Linked DNA regions of Oreochromis niloticus. The protein of the gene in region 1 interacts with the protein of each later gene in a biochemical or structural test. Links are inferred from orthologs where the notes say so. Each region holds a gene or a part of one and is shown in the gene's direction. Other genes may lie near its edges.

What was found. The genes of interacting proteins can lie anywhere in the genome.
Region 2: the proteins of grip1 (region 1) and carm1 form a complex in vitro, tested with the Homo sapiens proteins (2 studies listed by BioGRID). The link is inferred for Oreochromis niloticus from reciprocal best matches to the Homo sapiens genes GRIP1 and CARM1.

Annotation. Positions count from the first base shown.
Region 1 is NC_031981.2:19,985,770-19,993,063, forward strand, and holds the start of grip1 (glutamate receptor-interacting protein 1), read left to right. Parts: upstream 1-4,274; 5' UTR 4,275-4,838; coding exon 4,839-4,974; intron 4,975-7,294. UniProt on the Homo sapiens protein: May play a role as a localized scaffold for the assembly of a multiprotein signaling complex and as mediator of the trafficking of its binding partners at specific subcellular location in neurons.
Region 2 is NC_031969.2:3,522,258-3,529,527, forward strand, and holds the start of carm1 (histone-arginine methyltransferase CARM1), read left to right. Parts: upstream 1-4,251; 5' UTR 4,252-4,331; coding exon 4,332-4,473; intron 4,474-7,270. Other genes in the region: si:dkey-204f11.64 (guanine nucleotide-binding protein G(I)/G(S)/G(O) subunit gamma-5), read left to right, coding at 1,308-1,433. UniProt on the Homo sapiens protein: Methylates (mono- and asymmetric dimethylation) the guanidino nitrogens of arginyl residues in several proteins involved in DNA packaging, transcription regulation, pre-mRNA splicing, and mRNA stability.

The DNA of each region.
Region 1 (7,294 bases):
AACGAGCGAGCGCAGCAACCTTTAAACATCTCCTGGACTAGACGACAACATGCTGAGTTAAACCCAGCAGAGAGGCTGTTACAGACAGGTTTGCATCTATAACATTTAGCAGATCTGAGCTGCAACTGATTCAGTCTTAGAGTCGCTGTGAGATCAGACATTAGGAGTCAAATTATCCGATCTTCACAAACGCGCATCAGATGGAAATAGGAAAAATTCTTAGAAATGAAAGCAGATCCAGCTGCTCGGTTCATGCGTGGTCTGCAGTTGTGTTCTGAAGCTTTAAGTCATGTGCCTTAGATTTGTTTCTTATACTGTAAAAGGAAAATAAATCACGTGCACAGTCTAAGACGTGACGCTGTTTGGAGATTGTTGCAGCAGATCGTCCTTCCAGGTGTAAACGTCACTTTGAAAGAGGAACAAAAAAAAAACATGACTTCATTCTCACCTGGATGAAAGCAGAGTGCTGATTTTATTCTGCCGACAGCTTCAAAATGTGTTTATCAGACGAGAAAAGGTGTCAGTGCAGCAGGATCCACAAAATCTGAAGCTTCTCCTTCACTGCCGGTGCTGATCCAGTAATCAATACATTTACTATGAGAGTGTGTGTGTGTGTGTGTGTGTGTGTGTGTGTGTGTGTGTCATTTTTCCATCAGCAGTTTTGTGCCTGTCAGGCTTCAGCGCAGCGTGGGAAACATGAGCTGTCAGGACATGACAGGGGTCAAAGGTCAGCACTCACAGCTCAGAGACATGGCTTCCTGACTGTCACTGAACACCCTGGCGACCAGCTGTCAGTCACTGTGTGTCAGAGGTCAAAGGTCACATTGGAGAGGGGCTGAGTGTGATGGCCACACAGAGAGGAAAGGTCCAGATTTACCTGCCCGGACCAGCTCACCTGTGTCTAAACTCATCTCTGGTGATATTCTGGGTTTCCCCTCTCTTTCTGTAGAAATCTTATGCCGCCGCGAGCCGTCATACTGTTGGCTTAAGAACAGTCCCAGAGCCTGACGGCCGAATTCTGGCGTGAAGTCTGTCCCCGCTCTGATCGTTTTCAGGACCCTCAAACACTCAGTAACCTGGTTAATCTCCTCCTTATGTGCATGATTAAAATACCCTCTGATCACAATCTGCTGCCCCCCTCCAGTTTGTCATTTCCTGAGCCAACAGGGCCGACTGGGACCCAGTTGGACGAGCGGCAAGCTTCCCTCCAATCCACAGTTTGGCAAACGGATTAAAAAAAAGGAATTTAAACTGTAGAAATATTTTATTATGATTTCACAGCAGTCTGTCCTTCGCTGTGTGCTGCCTTCAGCAGAATTTCTGAAGCTGAATCACATTTACTCAAATACTTGAGGGTTGTACTCGAGTGTGTAGCTGTTAAAAACCAAAAATAGCAACATCTGTAAAGCTGCTTTTAAAACTAGGCCAGATTCTTTTCATTATTGATAAATGTCGTGATGATTTCCCCCAATAAACATCAATATAGTTTGGTCTATATAAACACCTTTATGCTTTTATTTTTCTTGTACTGATTATTTTTCCCTATAGCTTCTATTGTATTATTTTTTTCTAGATCATTAGATATTTAGATTTACTTTTACTTAATTGTGTTATTTATTATTATTGTTTTTTACTTGTTAACAGCCAAACATAAACAAAAAGAACTAACAGTAACAGTAATAACTGTGCTCAGCGTGGATCTTTTCATACCTCCATCCTTGTAATCAGTTATCATGTCATGACCGTTGCTCAGAGTCTTATGCAAAAACAACAAAAGCTGTCATTCACATTCACGTCAACATATTCAAGAAAGAAACCACACATCTGGCTAAACGTTTGACCCGAGCAGATCATGAAGTCCACTGGGACATGTTCCAGCGTTATTGTGTGCCACCCGGAGGTTGTATGTTGTACATTATATTTTTTTATTTTTCCTGGCACGGAAAATCAGAACATTACAATTTTCTCAGATGTTTATTTTGGGGTTTAAGATTTTGGTAGACGATACGCCCGCTGAGATCAATCCCAGTTCACAAGATTTCCTGCAGTTTGGAGTAGGACCATAGGCGGTGTGTAAGACTGCCAGGATTTATTTAGCCTTATTTTTTTTAAAAATACTCCTCCTCTTTTTCCAGTTTTTTTTTTTCTATTTTAAAAACCTTTATTTAATTTTTACTTGGTATTATTACACTTATTTCTATTATTAATTTTGTTATTGTTTTCTGTTTTTATTTTTTTACTGTATTTTGTGTAACATAGCTTATTTATTAATATATTCATTAGTTCATTAGTTTTTTAACTAATGCCAAATATTGTTACCTATTTTTTTGCACACTTTATTCATCATTGCTGAAAGTATAATTTTTCAATAATTTATTATTTACTTTATAGGTTTCATTTTGTCAGTGTTTTCATATATCATTTTTGATCATGATCATGTTTTTATTTTATTTTTTGGATCTTCTCTGTGTTTGTCATTGTGATTTAAACATTTTTATTAATCAATAAATAAGGTGGAGTAAAATGACAGCGTATATCGTATGATGAATTCTAAACATCTGGCAGCAGCGTAGCAAAAGACAAAAACCGATTATTGCATGAATATAAAATAAATGGAAATGAGGGTAAAAGAAAAAGTTGGCTATTTTTTTATTCTTTAATAAAAAATCTCTCAGATGTTGTCAGCAGCTGGATATGATCCTGAAGGTTTTTTAGGATCTTTAGTCCCCGTGTTATTGTGAAGCCTTGTTTAAGATGAACTCAGGTACCAGAGGATGCTGCCATCATGCAGCAGGCTTACCTCAGCAGATGAGATCCACTGACTCAGAGTGGAGCCTGTTTTCAGCGTTGTTTAGTCCTTGCTTTAGCACAAGTGTCTCCATTTATTATCCTGACCAGACCTCTTGATGCAGGAAGCGTGAGGTCAGGACTTCAGGTCTCTGTGGAAGTTGTGTAGACTCTGGGTGGCTGACCAAGAACACCTGCAGGGATTATACACTGATCAGGTGTTCAAAACACTGAAGGTGAATAACACTGATTACCTCGTTACAGTCGGGCTTTTCACGGCGTAATGTATACGAGGCAGCAATGGAGTGATCAGTTCTTTGTGTGATGTAAGCAGGAAAAGTGTAAGGGCTTGAAACCAAAAGTTCCAAAAAATTATGATTATGTAACACAGTTATTCACTAACCTGACAAACATGTTGCAAGTTTACAGTATATATACAATATGATCTATTTACAAGTTCTTTCTTTGTGCTGTAAATGTAGTTTAAATGGGGAAAAAATACAGTCTTAGCTGTAATGCCTGAGATGTGACCCAAAAGTCACAAACTGATATTGAGGTGGGTTACAGCAGAGGTTGTCAGGGCCAGATGTTCCTCGAATACCACCGAATGTGTGTTTGAATGTGTGTACTGGCAGCTGTTTTTGAGTTGATACCGGATGAGGCCCAAAAGTCACGAGCTGAGCTTTACATGGGTTACAGCAAGGGCTGGATGAGCCAGATGTGATCCAGATGTCAATTATGTAAAAGGTTGGATGAGCCAGATGTTCCTCAAATGCCACTAAACCTATAAATTGTACTTGGAGCTGTCTATGAGTTGATGCCAGACGTGGCTCAAAAGTCACAAGCCAGTATGGTTGTGATGTACAGCAAGAGTTGTTCGGGCCAGATGTTGCCCAGATGTCACAAGCTAGGCTTTGGACTGCAACTGGAACGGTTGTCAATAACTAGATGAGGCAAAAAGTAAGGGGCTGGGATTCATCTCGGTTATGGCAAAGGTTGTCAGGGCCAGATGTGGCCTAAAAGGTCAGTAATCATGTAAGGTGGACGTGCGGCTGTCCCTGGGTTGATGTTGTCAGCCAGATGTGCTCCAAAGGTGACTGCAGATGTTGTTCACTTGTCTCTGAGGTAAATGGAACCTGAGAGCTCTTTGTTGATGTTCATCCGGGTTTCACGTCTTTTGTCTGTGGTTTGTGTCTTCATTTGTTTCCTGAATCGAGTGTAAAACTACACTAGTGCTCTCCCAAACCCCAAACAGGACCTGGATACTGATAGGATAATCCTGGTTTTCAGTTCCTGAAATCTGGTTTTATCCCAGTTTTCCACCAGCTACCTGCACATGTTTCCACCCCTCTCCTCTCTCCTCCTTTCTCCTCCTCTTGGTACAATTACAGAAGACTCTGAGGAATTCACTCACCGGCTCCCCTCCCCCCACACTGGAATGAAGTGTATGAATGAGGAGGAAGAGGAGGAGAGGAAGGGAAATGTGAAGACAGGAAGAGAAAGAAGAGGAAGGATTGAAAGAAATAGAGGCACAAGATAACGAAGGAAGGAAGGATCTAATGAAGGAAAGGAAGTGCAGGATGAAGGGCTGAGATGGAGGAGTGGTGTGTTAGAGGGCGAGAGCAGCAAGCGAGCAAAGTGTGTGTGTGTGTGTGTGTGTGTGTTTGTGAGCTGCGAGCTCTGTGATTGGCTGAACCCGGCTAGATGCACCAACAGCCGAAAGAAGACGGGAACAGAGGAGAGGGAGGCTGCAGATAGAGGAGAGAATACAAAGAACGAGCGAGTGAGGGAGTGTGTGAGGGAGTGTGTGTGTGTGTGTGTTACATGTGCGCTAATGCGTGTGTGTGTGTGATATCCAGAAGTGTGTGCGTGTGTGTGTGTGCGCAGCAGAAAGAGGAGGCGAGGAGGAGGAAACCTGATCTCACTCTCTCTATCTCTCTGTGTGGAATAAACGCTTAGCCCTCACCGTTATTGGCCTTGCTGTTAGCTTGCAGCTTAGCCCGGCCCAGTTTGGACCCGGTGTGATTGTGGTGGAGGTGGAGGTGGTGGGGATGGAGCGGTTCCTAGCCCTGCTACGTCTGCTGAGCAGGAGGAGGCGAGGGAGGAGGTACCGGGCGGATGATGATTACCAGGAAGGCTACGAAGACGTTTACTACTACACCAGCAAGTACAACACACACCTACTGAGTGAGTGAGTCCCATAAAGAAACAATGGAGAAAGAGAGAGAGGCTTTGTTTTATTGTCCTACTGTAGAGCAAGCGAGGTAGAGAGATGATGCAGAGAGAGAGAGAGAGAGAGGCTTATCAACAGATTATGGCACTTAAAGTGGCCCAGAGTGTGTTGGTGTGCGCCGTTTTAAATGTATTGTGGGGACTCGAGTGTATTTACTTTAGTGCTCTGTGGGGACCTCCTCAAGAGAACAAAATTGCCGTAATTTCAGGGACGAGGATGTTACAGGTAGCTTGACTCCTCAAAAGTGAAAGAAATCCAATGAGTTGTGTGATGTCTTTTAGTTTGTGTGTTTTTGGGGGGACGTATGCGCACTAATTTTTCTGTAATGTGGGGTCTCAACTTCCTTCAGGGGACAAACGTAAGTCCTCTGAAGCGATGGAAATACGACTCCATGGGTGTGTGCTATTTTAATTTGTTTCCTGGGACACTGGCTTGTACTTTCTTGCACTCCACCTCCCCCGTAAGGTGAGGGAGCAGATTTCAGGGTGAAGACTTTCAGGGTTGGCTCGAGACCTTTAAAGTGGTGGGAATATTTAGAGTGTTAGGTCTTGTATTTATGGGCTACGTGGACCACATGTGGACAAAAAGCGAGTCCTATATATAGTAATGATATAATGGGGGAAAAAAGGCTGTAGGCGTGTCTTATTGTAATTGGTTTGACGTATTTGTGTTTGCTTTCTTACACTGTAGGGACTTGACTTCCTTATGGGAACAAAAAATGAGTCTAAATAAAGATCGATCCCTATGAAGGGAAAACCACCGTAATCGAGAAAATTTGAGGTTGAAGACTTGGAACTTAGAGCTAGTCCAATTTGGGGGAACTAAAATGAGTTCCCAAGAGGAGATGAAGACTTTGAAGTTTGAATTAAATGTCCTGTGGGGACACGCATGTCTTTATATTCTCATACTGCGCTAACTCGACGTCCTCATGAAGACAAAGCTTGACCTGTAAGATGAAGGAACAAATTTCAGGGTTAGCAGGGTGTGTGTGAGTGTGTGTATTTTTGTGATAGTAGTTTTATCTGTGTGTATGTTTTTGCTTTTTTACTGTGAAGACTCACCTTGGTTCAGTGTAGAAGTTTGAGTCCTCTTAAAAGTGATGGAGTAAAGTTCAGGGTGAAGACTTTGAGGTTAGTCCTGTGAAGTGATGGAAATACTGCTCTTCTCACTGTGTGTGTGTGTGTGTGTGTGTGTGTGTGTGTGTTTAAGGTCTTGTATTATAGATGAAGGTCGTTAGTGAAGCTGCTCAGTTACAGTACACACACGCTCACTCAGGTATTCAGATGACATGAACCAGGTGGTTTGTGGGTAATAACAGGGCAGGATGTTTATTGCAGGAAGGAATGTGAACAATGTGGGAAAACACACACTAATTCCAGGTTTAACGTCTTGTGTTGTTCTAGTCTGCACGCTTCAGTCCTTCTTTGGGGTCCTGCGGTAGTTTCTACTCCTTTTTTGTTCCATGTTCTTGGCTGAACCTACGAAACTTTTGCTCCAAATATGACCAGTTGAGATTTCCTCCCCCGTCAGGAGCAGATCGTGATACACTAAGTCGTGAATAATGTGTTTAGCTCCAGGCGCTCACACTTCCACTTTAATTATCTGATCTTTAATTAAATTTAGATATAATTTGTCTTTTTGTGACCCATATCTGGGGGTTCCTTTTACACTTATTTTATGCTCGGCCACTTTTATAGAGCATCAGCAGCAACAACAAAGCTAATGTTGGTGGATCTACTGAGATCGACTAGTTAACCACACTCCAGACTCTTCCTCTATGTTTGTGGATAAATGGAGCCTGCTTCTGACGTTGCTGGTGTTCTTCTAGACGTCTTATTAGCAGCCATATAAGCTGCTTTGGCCTGTCTACAGCTGTTGTGCATCTGCAAGTTGCTTTGCAACCCATCCCCTCCATTTCATGCTGTTTATGACTGAATGAATACATATTGTGATAGACAGTTTGATTTTTGATTTGTTAAACTGTAAGTTTGGTGTGTTTACAGTCTGGTGGTGGAGATGCAGGTTTGTTTACAGCCTCACAGGTAGGGATGGGTACCGGTGTCATGGCACCGGTTCTGACATAAACGGTAGTAACCAGACCGAAAAGCAGCGCACATTTCGATGCTTTATTTCGATGCTTTATTTCGGTGCGTTATTTCGGTGCTTTTTTTTTCCTGAGCCAATTCTAGCCAATCATTTTACGTTTCCGAGGATAGTAGGCGGGGCCAGGTACGTACGTTCTTTTAGAGCAGAGCTACAGATTAAAAATGCCCA
Region 2 (7,270 bases), on another chromosome or scaffold:
TGGAAAGCCATTCACAGTGTCATTTCTTGGTGTGCAGTGGAAATGGTAGCAAAACAGACTTTTCTGTAGGAGCAAGCACAGTGGCAGCTTTGTTAATTGTGGTGCTGCGTGACTGGTCTGATTGTTGGGTGGCTACTTATTTTAGAACAGAAGTCAGACCAGTTTCAAGTGTGTCTGTGTTTGGTGAATTAAAAAAAAATCACACAACAGTTTCATTCAGCTGACAAGTTCTTGTAATTTCTTACAGTCCGAAAACCAAAACACACACAGAAGAATTTAATTCCTGATGTTAGTTTTGTGAGTTTTGCCATATGTAACGTTTTCTTATGGTTTCTGTGTTAAACTGGGGTATTGGGGACCAAGCACGAGGCTGAGGGGCCCACAGGAAATCCACATGAAACAGGACCTCAGAAACAACTTGCGGATGATTTTCAAGCTCATGCAATGGAAACTGGCATCATTGTTTTTTTACTTTAAATATTTTGATAAGCAAAACAAATGTGGGGAAAATCACAAAGTGTAACATCCAAAGTGCATTACACATGCTTTTTGCAATCACATGGCACTTGAGGTGCCATGTGATTGGCTGATTAGATATTTGCATTAACAAGCAGTTGAACAGGTATGCTTAGTAAAGTGTGCAATACCTATTTATTGGAAAAGGAAATGACAATTCCATGTCTATTGACTTGTCAGCAATGTACAGTACTGTGCAGAAGCCCTTAGCCACTTCTCACTTATTTATATTTGGCTAGGACTTTACCTTTATATAATGCAAAATCAGAGTTTGTAAAATTCTGACAAGCTTCAAAATCAATATTTTATGTGATCACATTTATTCTTCAGCATAGTCTGTACTTTTTTTTTTATTAGTAATCTTCAGGAAAAGTTCTCCAAGATTTTCTAAAAACAGTTCTTCTTTGGATGTTTGCTGGTTTTTATTCCATTCTCTGTCAGGATGATCCCACATAGCTTCAGTGTGTGTGTTTTATTCAGCTATCCTTTTACTACGTTGACAGTGTGTTTGGGCTCATTGATCAGTCACTTTACAAATGGTACTACATAATAAATCAAAGTCTGATGTTACTTTTCTGTGTCCATAATTCTGTTAGTTTTGATACGACTCTCAACACAATTAGATGAAATCCAGCCCCAGACTATGACATGGCCTCCACTGTGTTTACTGTGTGATTTGGGACATGCCAACAAAACAAAACAACCAAAACTCCACATCGAATTATTGTAGGACTCTTCTTTTAGTTAGGGTAATTGTAACAATATTAGTTAACACTAACACTTGCTTTCAGGTTTCTCAGGCTGCTGCAGAACTGAAAAACTTCTGTTTGCAAAATGCCCACAAAGACCCTCTCCTCACCGGGGTGCCCTCCAGTGATAATCCTTTCAGGCCTCCCAAGTCATGTGTCCTCCTCTGAGGTATGAGCTTTTTATATATATATTTGTGCTCTTTTAATTTTGGAAACGCTAAACAAGCTTGTTATTTATTAGAGCACAAGATGTATCCCTCTAAGCTAAATCTACTTGTTCTCTTTGTAGAGCTGTAGAGTGCATGATATTCAGGCAGACTCCTCATTGTTCTAATGTGGATTTCTGTCATGTGCGGCACCACTGTTGAAGATAAGGAAGACCAGAGCCTAGTCAGTGAAGGAATTGATTAAATTATAATGATTTCAGGTGAAACATTTAGCCAATCTTATTTTAATTATATGTGTGTTTCTGCTTTCTGCATTTCTGTTTTGAAGACCTGTGGAATAACATTTTTAACAGTCATTATCAGTGGATGTGCCATTGTATTTGTCACTATATAAATAAAATACAACTGAATTGAAGCGGATGAAAACTCACACAGCTGAAAACAACATGACTAGAACAATTCCCATGAAAATTACATTGTAAAATACAAACCATAGGAGATTATTCCCATTTATAGATGTTTCCCAGAATCAAGCAGCAACCTCTACACTTTAAAAATTAAGAAACAGAAGTTCCTCTAATGGCCACTTGGCTCCAAATGTCATTTAGTTTGATTTAAAACAGAAATAAACAAATAAACGTTTACTCAGACTATTCAAACATTTTTTATGTTTCTTAACACTACGAGCAGCTAACTGCTAGTGTTAGTAGATAACTTGGCACACTCTCATCCAAATATAACTTCTGTTTCTCATAAACTAACAAACCCACTGAGCAACATCACAGTGACTACATTTATCTTTAGTCTGTGTCCAGAACAGGTGTAAAACAATCGTTTTAATCTTTATTTTTTTATTTATATATTAATTTTTGTCAACTCTTTTAAGCACTATATGAAAACATTCAATATAACTCCATTTCTAAACAACTGAGTGTGACGCATGTATTCCCATCATCAGTCAGAAGCTGACTGAAATGTCTGTAATCATCGATTTTTACCACTGAAAATGACCATGAGTTAATTCAGATATGAAGGAACTAACTGAGCATAAATGAAGCTCATTGGACACGGAGCGGACTACACAAATGACCAGCAATCAGTTTGTGTCAGGAAGCTTTCTCTAAAATGTATTTGAATTCATATCATAACATATAGAACAGCAAATGTTTTACATTGACTTTATTTACAGTGTAATGAAATGTGCCAGATATGGGCCCTTGTGTTTTTTACACCTACTGTTGCTTGCACTGTCATGTAATTGTTACTATGCATGTATCACATTAAATTATTACCCTAACAATCTGTATCTGCTTTGTTTTTTTCTGTTTGCTTTCTTCGTTTTTTAAAAATGTAATACAAAATGTACAAAAGATATCTTCAAAAAATGAAGATGTACTGTTTTTATACATTATTAATAATGTAGCGGTCAGTGTTTAGGATGTGAAAAGCGAACGGCTATCGTGGAAATGGGGAGGTGGACGCAAGCGTAATGAATCACTATCATAAATAGTACTCAATGCCTGTGATGTCTGTTTCACTCACTGTGCATCTGCAGTGCTTAGAAGGTTGGGGAAACCTGCAGTAAGCTGAAACTCGGATGAGTGATGACACGTTTCTCTCACTGAAAACATGCCCAGATGAGCTGAATCAACTCTCTGGGTTTTACTTACCTGGATTATTGAGCATGCATCAAGATAACACATGAGTACCTTCATGTTTGCAACATGTAAATATTCCCTTCTTTACATTCAAGTTGAGCAGATTGTAAGAGTTCCACTGTATGTTTAAGCTGCGCTTCTATCTTTTGAACTAAAGTCCAACTTTATTTTTCTTGATGCAGGCTCTTCTTGAGAATCTGCATATCAGATGTTCGAGCAATCAGTTTATGCTCCATTGATTAAAAATAAGTGCCTTTTCTGAGAAGTGTTAATGCTGCAGTGCTGATGCATGCTGGGAAATACGTATATTACTTGTAATTCCTGCCCCTGCTCTTGGTCATTTTTGGAAAATACCCATGAATTGGTTAAACTCAACAATGCAACAATTTGTTTTTCAGGGAGTTCATCATGTTTAGAAAGCCAAAGCAAAAAAGTGATGCTCAAATAAAGTACAAGGCCAGGACTTTGGTCTCGAGCAAAGCCAAAAAACAAACAAGCAAAAAATTTCTGATGGGTTATTTGATTATGAAACACTGTTACCACTTATATTTTGAAAATATGCACTCACATAAATATATCTAGAAGCTGGTCCACTAGAAGTGATTCTCTGAGTGGTTTTGTGGTGCGCTGACCCCATGCAGTCGGAGAGCACCTGCAGGTAATAAGCTTCTCCCTGTTGCCTGCTTACAGACATTACAGTTGTCTTTATGTTATTTTAGTAGGGCTGAATCTGTGTTGAGCTTGTGCTAGTCTAGTTGAAGAAGCTGGTAAGTTTATAACCTCAGCTAGAAAAATGAGTTACTGTCTGTGGTTAATCTCTGTGGTGCTGATCAAAGGCTTTTTTACTATTACGGCGTGTGTCTGTGTGTGAGTGAGAGGGGGGTGCAGGTGGTGACGATGCTTAGGGGAGGGGGTGAGATGCTGTGTTTGCTCTTGTGTAACATGGCGATAAAGAGACCCTAAAAACAAATAGCCACCTGTGGGTTTCGGGCAGAAGTACAGTTTTCGTTTGGATTTTAAGTGTTTAAAAAATTGTCAATGTTAGATATATTTTAATCTCCATGTTAAAATTTTATTTCACATGCCGTATTGCGCGATGGTGTTTACGCAATACCCATTTTTAGCCGCCAGGTGGCACTGTTGCAAAGGCTTATCACGTTGGTGCCCAGTGTGCCTCCAGCAGAGAGCAGTGCTTGGTTGGATGTGAGCGCCACAGATCTGTCTCTACTTCCAGAGCGAAGATGGCGGTCTCGGTATTCCGTGGCGTGCGGCTTCTCTCCATTGGAGACGCGAACGGAGATATACAGCGACACTCGGAGCAGCAGCCGCTGCGGTTAGAAGTCAAGACATCACAAGATGCTGCCCTCCTCAATCTCTCCAATGGTGAGTTGACCCTTTTCCGCAGTTGCCGCAGATGGTCGGCCTGACTCAACTGCCGCGCCGCTAATGCTATTGCAGCGTTAATGCTTACAGGCTAATCTGCCAGCGTTAGTAGCCGAGAAGCTAACGCATCTTGAGAGACCACGTCGCCACCTCCTGCTTGTCACGAGGAAGCTCTTAAAACTCAGTTTTATCACCGCCCCGTAGGTGTTTTAATGTTGCTAACTTTAAGCTCTCGCCATTCGCACGAGTTCAGTGCTTTGAAGACCACGCGAAACGTATAACGCAACACATACAACGTAGCTTAAGCGCATCAGTAAGCAGGGTAGCTAAGTAATGTGTACTTTAATGCTAGTTAAACAATGCCACTAGCCTGGCCTCAGCGGTGATGCGCCAACGTCCCGCACGTTTGCTTTTTGTGTTTTCTCCCTGTTTTTCTCCCTCATGTCTCATCAACGTGTATTTTGTCTCACAAATATGTTCAATATATTCCTATGTAAACGAATAGACTTTGTGTTGTCCAGAGACACCCGATGGACGGGTTCGAGTGTTTAGCTCGTGGACTAGCTTCCCCGATTGTTTTGGAGCCCAGAACAGAGGGCATCACTCCTGACCCGCTACGGTGTGCTGTAATCCTTGGGGCGACTCGCCGTCATCGCTGCTCTTTATTTTAGCCATCAGCACGTTCCCTTGTAAAACTTGCACTCTGTGTGCTGGTATAAGTTCGTAATATTTAAGGTGCCAAGACGAAACCGGGCCCTCATTACTTATGCGTTTATCTTTGTTCTCGCTGGAACAATAGCCGGGTCCCGCCGCCTCCTTCCCTCCCGTGTGGAGCCAGCAGCGGACCCGCTCCACTCCTCCGCGGCTTTTCTATTGAATGGGATGTCCCGCTGAAAAGAAACGGCTGCGCTGGACTCGCCTTCTGCTTCACATGCTCAAGTTCAAGAGAAACACAACTCTGCGTCCAGGTTTCAGTGTATAATATCAGACCGTAGAGCTTCTTTCTTCTAAAAATGCTTTTCAGAGAATCCCCCCACGCCTGCATGCGGACTCAAGTAATACTAACTAACGAGGTTTGCCGCAAGTAACTTATGTCATTGATTTTACACAGTCTGTTTCAAATTGTTGGGCAGTATTGCTGTGTGGGTAACGCAGACCTTTCCGGAGCTGTGTGTAGTCTAGTAAATTTCCACAAGTGATGTCACTTACATTACTAATGGGCCAGGTCTGAAGTCTACCAGCTTTGAAAGAACGACATCTGGGGGTTTGGTTGGAAAGAAGGGTGCTTTACCAATCCTCTCCAGCAGGCTCGTCTCTGCTGGAGACCCTGCATTCATGTGCTCCTCCGATACTTGGATTTCCTGTATGGTGAAGTCTTCTGCCCTCTTCGTTGGGTTCACATGATTTAAGATTAAGTGTAAAGCACTCGATGTAACAAAGATGTTGTCTTTGTTTGTCTTTGACTTGGAAAGCGTTACAAAAACAAACTCTTATAACTAATTCAGGTCACTACGTGGAAATAATAAATATTAGTAAATAATGGAAAAAGCCTAATGAGATATAACAACTTAATTGTTAGAAAAATGATATTTGATACACAAATTAGCACCATTAATAAAACATCTGTTGTCTCTTTGTGTGTAACAGCTCGGGAGCTCCTGTACCAAAACTCCCACAATCTTACTAAGATGGGGTTTTTTTTTTGGACTTAAGTAGGAATTTATGCCAGTTTTTGGAGATGTGAAGCAGATTTTTCCCTGTAATTTTAGCACCACATGAATGCACCATTACACAGGAACAACCAAAGACTTTTCAGAGGACTTGTTAGTGAAGTTTCTTGTGCTGTGGTAAGCCTTACAATCCCTGTAAGATGTTTTAAAGGGAGAGAAGGTCTGTGTCGAATGTTCATGCTTCACTGAAATACATAAGAATATTGTACTTTTTTAGACTACTGTCTCAAATGATATATTTAAAATGTCATAATTAGAAACCTTTAACTTTCATTCTAGTCTGAAAGTCCATATAGATGAGAAAAAAAAATATATAGCTAGATAGATAGATATTGATATAGACACTGGATGTGTAGTCTGACTGGCTCACCATGCAGTGATGTCATTTCCTGTCCAGTCAGGTTCATGTATCCATGACGTAAAGCCCCATAAACAATCATCACACTCATCACAGCTGAGCAGGTGCAGTCTCACTGTGGACAGTAAGAGGAGACCTAGAGAGGAAGCAGCTTAGTGAAAACTAAGCAATGTTAATTCTGCTCACAGGCGACAGCTGCACACAATCATTTTGTGCGAGTTCCAGATATTGTCAGAACAGAATGCTCATTTCTTTCACTGAATTGATGAAGGGAACAGTGGAGAAATGTTAGCAGGACAGTGTGAAAGTTATAGAACTTGAGCTCCTTCATATGTTTATTTAACAGAGGCCGCCTTATTGAAATTGCTGTCACTGTAAAACATGTAGCCTTTTTCCACTAGTACCTACATGGCTCGACTTTTACATTGGGTAGCAGTTACTTTTTTTGTCTTTCAACTACCTGCACGGCCGGGGTCAACCGATTGGCCAGTCAATGGCATCATGAGAGTAACTCCTTCACAAAAATCAAACCGCCATTTTTGAAACCTGGCAACGAGGGAAACGGCTGGACAACAACCAACACTGTGGTCTGACACAAAGCTATAGACTGAGCAGCAGGTGTACCATCGCCTCGGTGTGGTCCATTGTTGCTTTGTTTGTGTCACATACAAATGATTTCACGGGAATTTCAGTCACGTTGCTGTAATGA